3 linked regions of the Drosophila melanogaster genome follow. The protein of the gene in region 3 interacts with the protein of the main gene of each other region in a biochemical or structural test. Each region holds a gene or a part of one and is shown on either strand. Other genes may lie near its edges.

What was found.
Region 1: the proteins of sli (region 3) and robo2 form a complex in vitro, tested with the Drosophila melanogaster proteins (2 studies listed by BioGRID).
Region 2: the proteins of sli (region 3) and robo1 form a complex in vitro, tested with the Drosophila melanogaster proteins (2 studies listed by BioGRID).

Annotation. Positions count from the first base shown.
Region 1 is NT_033779.5:1,417,441-1,422,234, forward strand, and holds the start of robo2 (roundabout 2), read right to left. Parts: upstream 3,014-4,794; 5' UTR 2,726-3,013; coding exon 2,464-2,725; intron 1-2,463.
Region 2 is NT_033778.4:22,697,958-22,702,879, forward strand, and holds the start of robo1 (roundabout 1), read right to left. Parts: upstream 3,014-4,922; 5' UTR 2,921-3,013; intron 2,639-2,920; exon of another isoform or gene 2,240-2,638; intron 2,078-2,239; 5' UTR 1,996-2,077; coding exon 1,845-1,995; intron 1,778-1,844; coding exon 1,656-1,777; intron 1,420-1,655; coding exon 1,239-1,419; intron 1,128-1,238; coding exon 1,009-1,127; intron 949-1,008; coding exon 495-948; intron 435-494; coding exon 1-434. Other genes in the region: CG30259 (uncharacterized protein), read right to left, coding at 3,487-3,912, 3,969-4,547; Obp59a (Odorant-binding protein 59a), read left to right, coding at 4,760-4,922.
Region 3 is NT_033778.4:15,919,078-15,923,970, reverse strand, and holds the start of sli (slit), read left to right. Parts: upstream 1-1,852; 5' UTR 1,853-2,332; intron 2,333-4,893. Other genes in the region: bdg (bedraggled), read left to right, coding at 1-197, 260-788.

The DNA of each region.
Region 1 (4,794 bases), on a different chromosome or scaffold from region 3:
ACTTCCAGACTTCCAGACCGATGTCTCTCTGGGCTCTGCGTTCTGGGTTCTGGCCGTCGTCGTAAGCCTGTTGTTTTAAATAATTAATTATTGTTTGGCTGGCAAATAGTCGACTGGAGATCGAATGCTCTTAGGAAAGGCGTACTGAAGCCACGGCTAGTTGCAATTAGAAGTAAATACTTTTCCCCAAGGAGTGGCTATGTGTTTTCTAAGGAATTCGATCCAAATTGATTTTTTTATTAGAAGTAAAACTACATATTACTGAAAACCTATCACTCCCGTCCTAGTCCGTATTTTCGAATATTCCTAGAAGTACGTCGCTATCCGCTAGACCTTTCGCCAGTCGACTTGCAACACCTCCACCCACATTGGCCCGACTTTCAATCACATTCCTGCCCCAAACTGTGTGCCAACGTATCGGTGCTAGCTATGGCATGGATACTATCCCATAAGACCCCTCATTATCTAGCCTGCAGCTGGGAGCAAATGGGAGATCTCGTTGAGTGCCGGGCGATTGGTAGGGCAATCATGTGATTGAACAAATAACATGCTACGGAGCTGCCACAGCACTTGACTTCATTTCTTTCGCCCGGGAAAGTAGGAAAACTAAGCCAGAGACCGCTACTTAGCCCAATTTTCGCATAATGCACATGAGAAAATTGCACAAGAGCCGAAAGGCTTTTGCCAGGCGGGCACCCAAAAAAAAAAAACACAAAAACACAAAAAATGCCAACATAAACGGCCAAGACAAAGGAAAGGATAGACTGCCACCCCCGGAGTCAAAACGAAAAAAAAAAAAAAAAAAACAGAAAGAAGTGCAGTCAGTCCAGTTAGCTGGAAAAACGCTCCCCAGAGTGGCATTAGAAGGTTGCCAAGGCTGTCAACCCTGCAACTTTGTGTTGAGGGCGATAATTTTTATGACCCCGACAGATTCTCAAGCCGACTGCGATTGACCCACCACCCAAAAGCTGGGCTGCTAACTGGATCTCGCTGGTCACACACCACCAGAAGTGAGGAACAAAATCCTGTCGTGTGCCGGTGCAGATAATTTTATACAATTTATTATATCAAACGGGCGACGTCGCGTGCAACACTTGCCACGTCACATCGGCCATTTCGGGATGGGGACACTGAGATACAGATACTTGGTGCTGCAACACACAGCCTCAGGTTGCGTGTTCAAGTGTTTACTGAAATCCGAATTCAAAAATCCCAATCCCAATCCGAATCCGAGTTGCGTGTGTCCATGGACGATATCAGTGGACTGGGCGTCGTTGGTTTGGCATTAAAAAGCGTTTAATAAGCATTAGATTACAACATTCTCAGCGTTGCAAGGGGTGTGACGACTTAAGCTCATTTAGATATATGTTTTATCGGCGGAGGTATAGAGCCATGAAATCGCCAAAGGGTCTAATTTAAAAGCGTTGCTTAACTCCCATTCCTTAAACCGCCAACCTCAAACCATTTCGCTTTAGTTTTCTTTTTGAACTTGCCATCTCGACCACAAAAGCCACAAACTCGATTCTTTGTTTGATTTTCCTGTAATCAGTTGCGAGATTGGAGCGGGAAACTACACTCGGTTGATTAGTCTTTCGAACTCATTACTCATTTATCTAAAGTTCGGTTTTGGTTTTGGTTAGTGATCTTTCCCGAGATCCTCCCTAAGGGGTTTACAATTTCTGTGTTTCGATTTACCCTCATCCAACTGAGTTTCCACATATGCATTTTTTTTTCACTTTTCTCGGGTTCGATGTGTAATACGATCTGTGTATTCTTTGGAAGTTGTATTTAGTTTTCCCAAATGTGATCCCTAAGTGGGTTCAGTGGGTTAGCATTTGTTTTTTGGTGTTCGTTATGTGGTGATAAGGAATAATGAGGAATTAGCAGCATTGTTCTTAAAAGTATCCATACTAATAGATACTTCTTAACCTTCCCTAACCTGCAGAGAACTTCTGAGAGATCTCTGGAATTACGATACCGATTGCAATGCCCTGCCAAAGCCCAAACATCCAGCTATGCCCATCCAAAAGTCGCCCCATTATGTGCATCTCTAATGAGAATCGGGAGAGAGAGGCATGAATAATGGGTCTATGGGCAGAGTCGATGTCGCGTTGTCTATAAAGCGGCCTTAAAATCCATTAGCGAACGTTGCAGGCATAAATAAACCGCAGTGCCTTAATTTCACTTTGTTGTTCGGTCGGGCCGCGTGTGTTGCAACCAAAAATAGCCAAAAGACGGAGTCGACCAACAAAAAAACGTAAATGGAAACAAATGACGCTAATAAATAAATGGGGAGTGCAGCGACATGAGGAGGCAACTCATATGCGGCCGCGAAGGATTTTCCCTGGCTCTGGGAGGAAATAGTTTGTCATAATGCCCTTCAAACTAAAACAGAGATCCCACAATGCAACCCTGCGAATGCAACTCTGGAGATGGACGCATCTTGCATCTGTTGACACTTACCCTTGAGCGCTCCGACTTGAGTTAATCCGTTTAATCCCGCGAGGAGCAGCAGCAGTGGGAATACTGCGCGTCGACTCCGATCGACTGGCATTATTTTTAGCCGCTCCCCATGAAAATCTCGATTGTTTCTGTGTCGGCGTTTGATCTCGCTGGCAGTTTTATTTTTGATTTTGCTTTTGATTTTAATTTGAATTTCGCTTTCGTTGGTTAAACACTGAGGTTGCAACCGCAGCGGCATTCCACGCATCTCGCACAAATGCATTTTGTCAAGTATTCTCGTTTCGCCTCCTTAATTGCACACCATTTAAAATAGATTTGCACTCATTTCTCGATACGCGCAATCTTTCGGATCTTCTGTTTTGGCACACACAGTATTTCTGTTCCTCCGAGTTAGTTATTCGCTAGCATCTGAATCCATGGCGGCGCCACTAAGTCCGTTTCCCGGAACGACGACGCGCGTAACCCGACGAATCGAACGGATACGGATATATGGACTGTATCTGCATCCGCAGCACATGCGAACCGGCTGACAATCGAAATGCGACTGAGGAACGAATTCTCGTTTCGCCTCGGAGCCGCCACCCGAAGTCCACTTCGGCTACTGCTTCGTGTCTGTGTATCCGAGTACCATCTAGTATCTGTATCGCTTCGTGCGCTGTTCCGCGTTCCAGTTCGTCCCGCTTGTTGCATGCTGTGGAACGCGTTGGAACTTTGTTTACTTTTACTGCAAGACGGTTTGTTTTGTTCCGTCTTCACTCGTTTCGATCCACGTGCCCTAGGTTTATCGTCGAGTCGTGCAACATTTCGGGTGGTGGTGCATCATCATGTTGCTATTGAGTGGATGTGAATTGTTGGAATATGTATCTGACTTCCAGGACTAGATGGGGATTTCTTTGCAGCACAACACATAGTCATGTATTTATTGGCTTTTTTTATGAATAATCTGCATCATTTGCTAATACAAAAAAATCTACATTCAAACGGACTTTAACACCATGCCACATCCATTTCCAAGTCCAACTTGTTTATCTCCAGCTCTTTTCCATTTTTATTCGATCATTCAAGCTCTTTTTCACGTTGTCAAGCCAACAAATTGCCAACCTTTGTGCCGCTCAGCCTCAATAGTTTCCATCCGAATCCGAAAACATTTCGAGCTCGGATAATCCCTACTTGTTGCGCTTTATTGCCCTCCAGCTCCACCGTGTCCGCTCAACCCTTCGCCGGCGCAGAGAGTCGAAAGAGCCCCTCCAAAGGGGCGACCATTTCATATCTAATCTGCTCGAGTGCCCCACTCACTCTCCAGCTGTTAGCTCATCTATTTCCAAACTGCAATAAAGCCAGACACAGTTCTAGACGATCCGTTTCACAATGCGATGAATAGAAATCAAAGTGGAGACCCGTTCTTGGACACTGTCCCAATATCTAGACGCCTCTGCGCGCTAATGAATTTCGAAATCAATTGAATGGCCAGCTAGACGATATTGTATTAATTTATCAAAGTGCATATCCGAAAGGGCTTTCCTCTATAAATCGCTGCCTAATTTCCCAGCGTTTGTTAAATAATCAATAACTTTTCCTCCAGGTAGAGTTCTTCGGACGAGTGTGAAGTCAGTTCATTAATGCCGGTGCTCAGAAAATACAGATACAGATACATTCGACGGGCAGAGAAGTGTAAAATAAAGGTGTGTATCTTTCCTATAAAGGAACTATGCGTGCATTTAGGAGCGGGCAGGTGTGGATTCCCTTTCCCCCTCCACTTCCCCTTTTCAGAGTGCAACACAATGTGCATTGTCTCTGCGAGAAAGAAAGGTCAAAGTGCGTACGGCGTATGTGAGTTTGTTGCCTTCTCAAGTCCCTCGTTTCTTCGATTCTCCGATCCCGACTCTCGAATCCCGATTCCCACTGCCGCTCACCTTTTATAGAGGCGAAGAATCCAGGTAGAGGAAAGAGAGAATTCGTGGCAGGTAAACCATATTTCAAATGCTGATAATTGGCCAATTTACAGCCAGGGCGAGTTGCTCTGCTTGAAAGGCGAGATATCTGAGCCCGGTTGCCACGCTTCATTAGCACTCAAGTGAAGTTGGGCAACGCTGCAAGTATATACGATAATATATAATATATAGATACCTTATGTCCTTTACCTTACCAAAGTAAATCCAATGTGCTAACTATCCGATGGATTCAAGCATGGATTTTTGATCTATGCCCGCAACACCCAAAATATTTACTCCTTAAGCTGGCCCGATTAAACCTGCCAACCCATGACCTTACCAAAACAGAGGGCCAAGAAGTTTGGCAACACTGGACTGCACTCTGAGTTATCTAGGCTGA
Region 2 (4,922 bases), 6.8 Mb from region 3:
CGCTTGTACGGCATGTCCATCGTGGAACCACTTAATACGGGGACTGGGATTTCCGGTGGCCCGACAGGGTAAAGTAGCAACTGATCCCTTGGGCAGTGTTTGATTGGCAGGTCCGATTTGAATAATCGGAGGTGGACGCTCGTCTAACGAGCTGACTTGCAGGAAAACCCGTACTGTAGAGGAATCGACTACACTGAAAGCGGAACACACATAGTAGCCTTCGTCTTCCTGCCGCACATCCGTAATCTGCAGAGTTCCATCGGCAGCCACATGCTGCCTCCCGTGCGAACTATTTGGGAACATGAGAGTGGATACTCCTTCCTTGGTCCAGAAAACAGATGGCGGTGGGTTTCCGGAGGCCATGCAAGGTAGTTGGACAACACCATTTAGTCCCACTTTCTTGTTACTGGGTCTTTTCGTAAAGTTCGGCGGAGCTTTAATGAAAACAATTGAAGATTAAAACGCGATTCTTTGGTAATGGAACTTAATCTTACCATGGACTATAAGAGAAGCCCTAGCGCTGATCTGACCGACATTGTTGTGTGCCTCGCAGACATAGGTGCCCTCATCGGTGGGCGTTATGTTGGATATCTCTAAACTTTTCTCGTCGTGAAGGATTCGCGCTCTGGACACCGGAATATTGCCCTCCTCCTTTTTCCACAACACTTTCGGCGGCGGATCACCGCCCACTGAGCAGTGGAAAGTGGCTGTCTGGCCGTAGAGCATCACCTGATCCTTGGGCTCCTTCATAAAGTATGGTTTGACCTGGACAATCAGCTTGGCATAGCTGCTCTCGCGGGTGCCTACCAGATTCTGGGCAATGCACTTGTAGTTGCCCTCATCAATGGGCTCCACATTGCTGATCAGCAGGTTGCCACCGTCCACAATTCGAACGCGGGAGCTGGCGCCAAACGACATGGCTTTCAGGTCGTCCAAGGGAACGCCGTCCTAAGAGCACAAAAAGCGGTTTAGACAACTGACTTTCGCAGTCTGGTTTTCGGAACCCACCTTTATCCAAATCAGCGTTGGCTCTGGAATGCCTTTGGGCGGCCCACACTCCAGCAGAGCCGTCTCGCCTTTGGCCACTCGCGTGTCTTTGGGCTCCACGCGAAAATCGTCGCGCAAAACTAGCGAAGAAAAATTGCAAAAATATCAAAAAAGCACATTATAATCGGAGACAAAGCTGGGCGTGTGGGCAGACAAGTTGGAGAGCAGACTAGAGTGGCGGACTAACTTACCAGCTATCTGGAGCGAGGCATGGCGACTAACGGCCTGGCCCACTCGGTTCTTGGCCACGCACCAGTACTCTCCGCCGTCCTGTTCCTTCTTGCCCTGCATTGTCCTGTAGAAGAAGAGGGCGCCGTCCTTGAACTGGACGCGGTGCGATTTCTTTTCGTTGGTGCTGACGGGTTCGCCATCCTGAGAGCGGAAAGAAGAGGGGGTGATTGAGTTACGATTTGGTTCGGTTTCGAAGGCTACACGGAAAAAAACAACTACTCAAAACCACTTATATTTTGTATAATTTTTGAATTCATTTTTGTTTTGATATTTAAAGATAAATAAATATACAATATTGATATGAAAACATTAAGATCAAGTTTTCTTTTGCCAGTGTAATGGTGATTCAAGTTAGAAAAGTATTATTTGGTGGGTACCTTAAACCACTCAATGGTGGGTTCCGGCTTGCCCTCCACTTTGCAGTTGAGCGTGGCGGGTTCATTCTTCTTAACGACCAGATCCGTGGGATGCTCGATGATACGTGGCGATTGGTACTGGCCTGAAAGGAGTAGGAAGGATGTGGATTAGCCACTGGGCCTGGGGAGGATTACCCAGGATGGGTTTACCTCTGACTGCTGGCAGGCCATTGCTGGCCACCAGGACGAGGAGCAGCCAGGCGGGCAGGAGCCACATCCTGCTGCTCCGACTGCGAGATGGGTTATTAGTGGTGCTCGTGCTCCGGGCGATGGCGTGGTTTTCGGGATGCATGGGATGCATTTTATGGTGTTGGTGCTGTTGCAATGACGACTCTACAGATGACCCAATGCAGCGGCGATCATTTTGGCGTTGTTTTTGGGTCCTGCGATGCATGATAGGTGATAGTATGTGGGTTAACTAAATGTGGGCAGCTGTTACATATGTAGGCGTGGCGGCATTATGGCTAGGCATTTATGGGCTTTACTTGCTTTTTGCTTTTTATCTGTCCAAAAACTCGAAATTATTTCTCGCCTGCTCCACTTACGCTTGCATTTCCATGCGATAAGCACACACACACGCACACACTCACGCACACTTGGACACTCACACACCCACACACATGTGTCTATGCTGGTTTTCCATTAATTTTATTTCCGTATTTATCTGCCTTTGTGTTTATCGCTCAGTCTCAGTCGCACCGACCCGAAAATTTACAATCCAAATTCTGATTCGGAGTTTTGATTTCACGTTCTCACACTTTCTTTCTAACGCTTTTTTTGTATCGTTCGCTGATTTGGTTTTTATTTTCCTTTTTATTTTTTGGATTTTATTAATCAGCCGCGCAGTGTAAGTTTTTGTTGGTATTTATTCGACGATTGCTCGCTTTTCGGGGTTGTTTTCTCCATCATCTCTCCTCGCGCACATTTTCCACATTTCCCGAACGAAATTTCTTTTTGGTAAAATTACAAGAACAAGAACTGCCCCGCCACCCCTCTCACTCGCACACACTGCCGTTCTAGCTGCCTCTCGCTCGCACCGCCTGCCGTTCCTGGGACTTCCCCCCGTTGTTGTTGTATCTATATCTATAACAGAGTGTTGTATCTATAACTCCTTGTAATATTTGCTTTACATCCGCAGCAGCTGCACTTTGTAATATCCGAAAACGAGTATCTACTTCAAATGGAAGCTTCGCGGTTGGATCGTACTTTCTTGGGTGCAAACTTACTCCAATTTAACTGTTGGAAATTAACTATTTTCCTGCTCTTTAGTGCGATTCACGGCGCAGCGAAAACTCACAATTGGACGTGGGTCGTGTCTGTGGAAATTTGAGAGCGCAACGCCCGGAATCGATATATCGATATATTTTGGGGTGTACCGAAAAGGAATACTCGAAAATACCAGAGGACATATTTATCAGTTGATCTGGTAGCGCCGCGTAAAGTAACTATTTGAATCTTTAATTGATTTCTATTGTATTGAAATTGAAATCGAAAGATATACCAACTATGTTTTAAGATATTAATAAAATGTAAATATTTAAATTAATGTATGTATTGTGATGTTGAATGGTTTATTAAAAAATTCCGTTTTATTCAGAATATCTATATAATTTGTGTGTGATTGCTTAAATACGTATATATTAATATTCATGTTCACGGTAGAACCAACTGTAAAATACTATAAAAATATATAGATAATTGTTATGGTAGAGAATAGTTCCTACACCAATTTAAGGTGTTTTGTTTAATATAGTTTCCCTGCATTAATCAAATAACTACAGAGTCTAGCAAATTATTCCATTCTGGCCAGGTTCATCTTTCCCCTAGCCAAAGTCCTCGAAAGAACCACGTTGGAGAGGTTGGCTTCGAAGGCAGGCGCTCGGCTGCGTCCTGGATGCAAGTGGAAAGTGGGAGGTGTGGGCGCCGCTGGGCGACGACCAGTCGGCTGGGCACTCTTCACCAGCTTGGGCTGGAGCTGCAGGCGCGACACTCTGTCCACGGACATGCTCTTGGGCCGCCGGGCTAGATAGCTATGGACGTGGCTATTGGAGCCATTGGCAATGTTCAAATTTACCAGGTAGTCCTGCAGCTGCGTCTTTAGCTGGCTGTTCTCCGCCTCCAGGCGACGCTTCTGTTGCTTCAGGCAGGCCACGTCCACGGCCACGTTGTTGACGCGTCGCCAGAAGGACTCCATTTGGGGTACCACTGCCACCTCGTCCTGGTACGTTAAACCAATGTTGAATGAAGAAATTACCTACTGGCATTTTTACTCACCTTAAGAAGATCAGTGGCTGGGTCAGTCAAGGAACCATTACCCTGATCCTCTATATCTCGAATCTCGATAATCTCCTTGGATATTTCCGGCAACTGGAACATCCGCTCCCGCTGGGTTTCCATCTTGGCACAGACCGCAGACAACTGTGCCAGAGTCTCGCCCTTGGCCACAGTTTCCTGGAGGAATTCCAAGGCATGGTAGCTCTCCACGGACATCAGCTTGAACAACTGGTGATCCCTGGCCACCTCCTGTTCCACACAGGTGCGTAGCTCCCTTAGTCGCTCGGTCAACTGCTGTTTGATGGCTTGCCGCTGCTCCAGTTGGCCCTGTTGCTTGATGTAGAACTCCTCGGAGACCAGACGCAAATTGGTCAGCTGGTCTACCAGGTGCTCGATTTCGTGGGTCTGCTGGCTAATCTGGAGGGCTGCCTCCTCATCCCGCTGCTTCAGATCCACGTACTCCGAGTAAAAGCCTTCGATGTGCTGACAGTAGCCCGCCAGAACACCCTGATACTCCTGCCACAGCTTCTCCAATCGAGCTTCACCTCTGGAGGTGATCTGCTCCAGCTGTAGTTGCATCTGGAAGTGGGGTTCAATTTAACATGTTTTCATAAACTTTTAAAATAACCTTTATTGTAAAATATAATCATCGAAGAGCATTGCACGCAATTGTAAAATTAAGATTGATATGTGTCTTGGTTCATTGTGCGTCAGTCACTCTGTAATTTGGATGCCATTCTCCAGAACTATAAATGATGTGGGCATAGCTGCTCCTCCATTCAGTTCCCAAGATGAAACAGTTGATTTTCCTGCTGATTTGTTTGAGCTGCGGCACCTGCTCCATTTACGCACTGAAATGCAGATCCCAGGAGGGACTAAGTGAAGCGGAGCTCAAGCGAACTGTGCGCAACTGTATGCATCGCCAGGACGAGGACGAAGATCGAGGACGAGGTG
Region 3 (4,893 bases):
GAACCGCGTCGTCCATCCGCTCGACAAACGGCGTCCCAAAGTCGTCGTAATGCTTTGGGCCAGACCACGGAGGGCGGCCAACACGATGCACAGAACGATGCTCCGCCAAAGTACACACCACCTCCGTCCTACACAACGGCCACTGGAGCCCGCCTTGCCAAGCTTCTGCGCCAGAGCATTCGCCGCAGCGTAAGAAGGTACATAAAAACCATCCCTTAATATAAACAAAAAGTTATTTACGACCAATTTATCGACACAGGGTTCTCGGAGACTCAAGTCGAACGCGACCCGTGCTCTCCCTCGATGCGGAGTCTGCTTCGCCAGCGGCGCCGCCTGATTACCTAACCATACTGACCAATCCGGCTGGCAGTAGTTTCAACGCGGATCCTTCGCCAGCTTCCAGCAGCAGTCCCGAGTCCATAGAGATCGACCAGCGACCCGTTGGCTACTCCCAACGCTCGCAATCGTTGGGCAGGAAACTGCATCGTTCGGGTGCTTCGACACTGGAGAGGCGGCCCTATACGGCGGAGGATGTGGTGACCATACTGCGCTCCTCGGTGCGACATCGCCAGTCGCAGGGAGGCGGAAATTTGGTCACTGCCAGCACCCTGCCTCGCCCCCCAACCGCCGCCATGTCCACGCACTTGGAGGACGCCTCATTCCGATCCATAGAGAATCTTGTGCTGAATGCCGAGCCACCGGACAGAACGCCCGGTGTGGAGCTGGAGCTCGAATTGGAGGCTGGACAGGCGGAGGAGTGCGCGCGAAATAATACATCTGTGATTTAACTGACTAATATCGTACCGTACATAGCGTAACTCTTATGCGATCCACATATCCGCTTGCTTTCTTAGACTTGATTAGCGCTAGTTATCTAAATACGAATATTACCTTGTAGTTATGCGAATAATAACGAAAACAACTAGTTGGTACTCCCAAGTGTGAGCTCTTTTGATCCCTACAACCGGTATTCCCAGTTCGATCCAACCCACCCCATTTAATTCCATTTCACATATATTTTAGGCTTACGGATCGCGCCTGTCTGCACAGTTGCCCTTAAAATTATCCCAACAATGGAGTAGGCCTCCTACGTGCCCAGCTCTCGAGGGTCAGCTATTTAAGGGAATACGTACTTGGGCCCTAAGCCGATTAACAAACGTGACCAGTTGAATAAAAAAAGTGAAAATAAACGGAAGTCCAGGATGGCGTAGCCAACAAAGGCGCCTAATGAGGCGGGCCAGGAAGTTGCTGCATATTTCGATTAAAATGTCACGCCATTTCTTTTGTTTTCTTTGTGACTTGCATATTCCAAAGGGATTGGCCTGCAAAAAAGTTAATCCGCGGAATTTTTAAATCAGCACGAATTGGCGGTTATTATTTTAATATCTGGCAGCGCTGGTTCAAAGAACCAGTTCAAATGGGTTGAGTCTCGGCTAGAACTTTTGTGAAGTTCACACAATAATTGATACCGTTATTTTTACTTATAATTAGTAATTTTAATGCTAGAAATACATAAATAACAATTGAGACCTATATAAAAGCAAGTGATAAGGGTTCTTATACAAGCCAATGTGTGTAGTACAACTACTCTATAATTTGGGATGATAGTTATAAAGTTTTAAATAAATATATATTTTCATGAAAATATTATCAACACTTTAATAATGAACGAGTTTTTGGACCCTTATTAACCATAATATTTGAAATTTAAGTTGGAACAAGAAACTTTTAAACTGTTGGCGAACGCGGTATTTTTTAGGCCCTTCTTGCCGGGTGAGGTTACTCCTGCATCTGGTAACACTGCTCGGCAGCGAAACAGAAACATAAAAAATTCGAACGGCGACGAGAGCGGTCAGACGCACGCATCACTTTCAATCGCGTCGCGTAGAGCGTCCAAAAAGAATTATAGTATAAACCAAGAGTGAAGATTCCGGTGAGCAAAGAATTTGCAATTGCCAAACTTAAGCAAAAACCATAAAGTGTGCATTGGCAATTGAAGTCGCGCGTTCTTAGCCAATCCACATTTGCACGGCCATTTTAAAGCCAAGTTAAGGCCAAAGTTTTCTGCCGCGCCGTCTTCGTAAGTCGCAGGTCGAAAAGTGCTCAAACGAGATTTCCACTTGAAATTCCTGAATTTCGTTTGTCTGCGCGAATCGCATCGAATCGAATTGAAGCACAAATCGCAGCAGCAGAAAAGCGCAAAAGTCGAATTTAAATTCCGTCTGCAAAGTGCCGAAAATTAGTGTCTTTGTTGTGTTAGTGTTTTGTTTCTTTGTCTGTGTGGGTGTTACGATTACGATTGGATTAGCGGTGTTTTCGCCTGATTAAAACGGTAAGTGTCCTTGCGATAATCCTGCGTGCAAAGTTAGTTAGCTGGTGCCAAGTTCGCTCGCCACTCACACACCTCCACCGCCGCCACTCACAACTTATTTTGCTGCAATTTGCTCTAGTGTTTTGTATTAGCATTTTTATGTCCCGCCTCGCCAAAGTTGACAAACAAAAACGTACACACACACACATACACGCACCGACACGTAAGCACACGCACACAAAGGATTTCATTACATTTTGGGTGGGACGTAACGGTAACGTTGAAGTGTAACGTATAACCCTCCCCTCGTTCTATCTCTTTCCCGCCCAAAGCCCCGAATGCTGTGCTACCGAATTTGTTTTCGCCTTCGCTCAGTTCTGTTTTCTCCTGTTTTTATTTATTTTGATGGCGTATTTTGCCATTCCGCTTTGTTCGTATTGCGTATCCTGTCGCCTGCGCTATCCTTCTACAGTCGCATCTGGCTAGAAGGAACTATCGTGTGCCTCAGTCACATGAAAAATATTACACTTACGTAGGTGATTTGATTTTTAAATGTATAAAGTCCCCTTCAAATTGCTAATTGAAAAATATATAAGTTCATGTACATAATCTTATTATGTCATCAATTAGAACCACAACATCTTTGGTTTCCCATTAGTATTTATAGTAACATTTTCTGAGCCCAGGGTATTCTGGTTTCACTGTACATTTTTCGCTGTCAGCTTTTCTTCCTAGTTTCTGCCAGCATTGAAATGAGTTCGCAATAAATATTGCCCAATGTCAAATAAAAGGGCGATGAGCCAGCCTTTTTCCGCCATGGCCCCTTTCCACCTCGGCCTATCTCCTCCATTCGCTCTAATCTCGGGGGACACTAATGCTTTACGACAATTCCTATGCCGTATGCCGCCCAGTACAAACTTAATGCACACATCAATGGCAAATTAGATATACTCCACAGCAAATGTACTAATAACAATCATCGAGTGCGTGTGCGGGCGGGCTTCCGATTCATCCCATACCATACCATACCATACGATACGATACCATCCCGAACCATTCCATCCCACACATACGTCCTCTCAAGACGATTGTTTTGTTGATTTGGCTGTTACTTCCAATACATTGGCATTTAAGGGGCAGAATTGGGATCCACTTATGTGCCTGCCTTATGTCTCATTTGTCGTCGGGCAAATGGAAATCGTTTTGTTTTTGCCTTGTCAAGTGACAAATTTTCATTGTCTCCCGCCACTAATCGCTTACTTAAAACAAAAAAAAAAACCAAAAAAATGAAGAAGATACCACGCCAAAGACTCCAAACAAGAAATAAGACAAGTGTAAATAAACACTTGAGGAGGAGGGAGCGTGGGATCGGGAGTCACGACTAACCGATATCCTCTGTACAGTGTGGGCGGGGGCATATACGCAATGACATTATCATAAAAGGTGCACATGCCAGAAGTTAAGTCGCGACAACTTTCCGTTATAACTTTCAATAACCTTTGTTGTTTGCTCCAATAAAAGCATTTTAATCGATACTCTTGACTTGTGTCAATCCATTCGGATTTGTTTTTGGTTACTAATGGATGTAATGTATGAAGTTATTGGGGCGGCATAAATTAAGAACTTATTTCCTTTGTGGATTTCACGTTACTAAACAGATGGTGATGTGACGCAAATGAAGTCCTAACAAAAGGATATTTATATATATGGTATTCTTTCGCCTAGCTATTTACCTGTATTTTCATATTTATAAAAATACTAAAAGGCCATTCATATTTTATATGGCGTGTGGTCTAATTACTTATTTTTATGACCTAGAGAAGCAAAGATTATAAATTAGCCGTTAAACATTCCTTTCCTCCATCGTACATACCTTTCGATACCCTGTAAATTCCAGTGTATGTACTTAGAGTACGCACACGTACTTGCCTCTTTTGGTGGCATTGCCCGCGGCACCTTCACTTGGCGCAGCTTGCCTTAATTTCCAGCGGACAAACCACTTTGTTATCGCCACGCCGAGGGCCCTTTAATCTCTGGTAGTCCCTGGTTGGCTGGTCAGACCCACCTCCATCTCCGTCGCCTGCCCATTGATTTACGTCTCTATTTTCCAAATGTAGCGCAATCGATTTAGATTGATTTTGTTTAAACAAACTGCACAGCGCAGCAGAAGCAGCAGCATAAAAGGCACCAGAAAGTGTAATAAATAATTGGAAACGGAATCGTTGGGCTGATTTTAATGCCAGCGTTAATTGCGAGAGCCACCCAATTTCATTTCCATTTCCATGCCCAATCGAAATCCAAATGCCATTCCCCAACCCTCCCCATACCTTCAACATTTTCATGCCGATGTAGCGATGCCCTAGGCCAATTCCAAATCCAAATCCAATTCCTATTCCTATTCCTATTCCATCGATGCTTTGGTAATTAGTTGTGAATTGGATTGGGGATCACATAAAAGTGTTGATTACACACTCCGATGGCTGCGCCCCCAGCCACGCCCCCTTCCCGGCTGGGTGCCAAGTGTTTTGTTTGTGTTTATCTCGTCTTCGACGTGTCTTTTTGGGTTTTTCAGAGGAATTAGG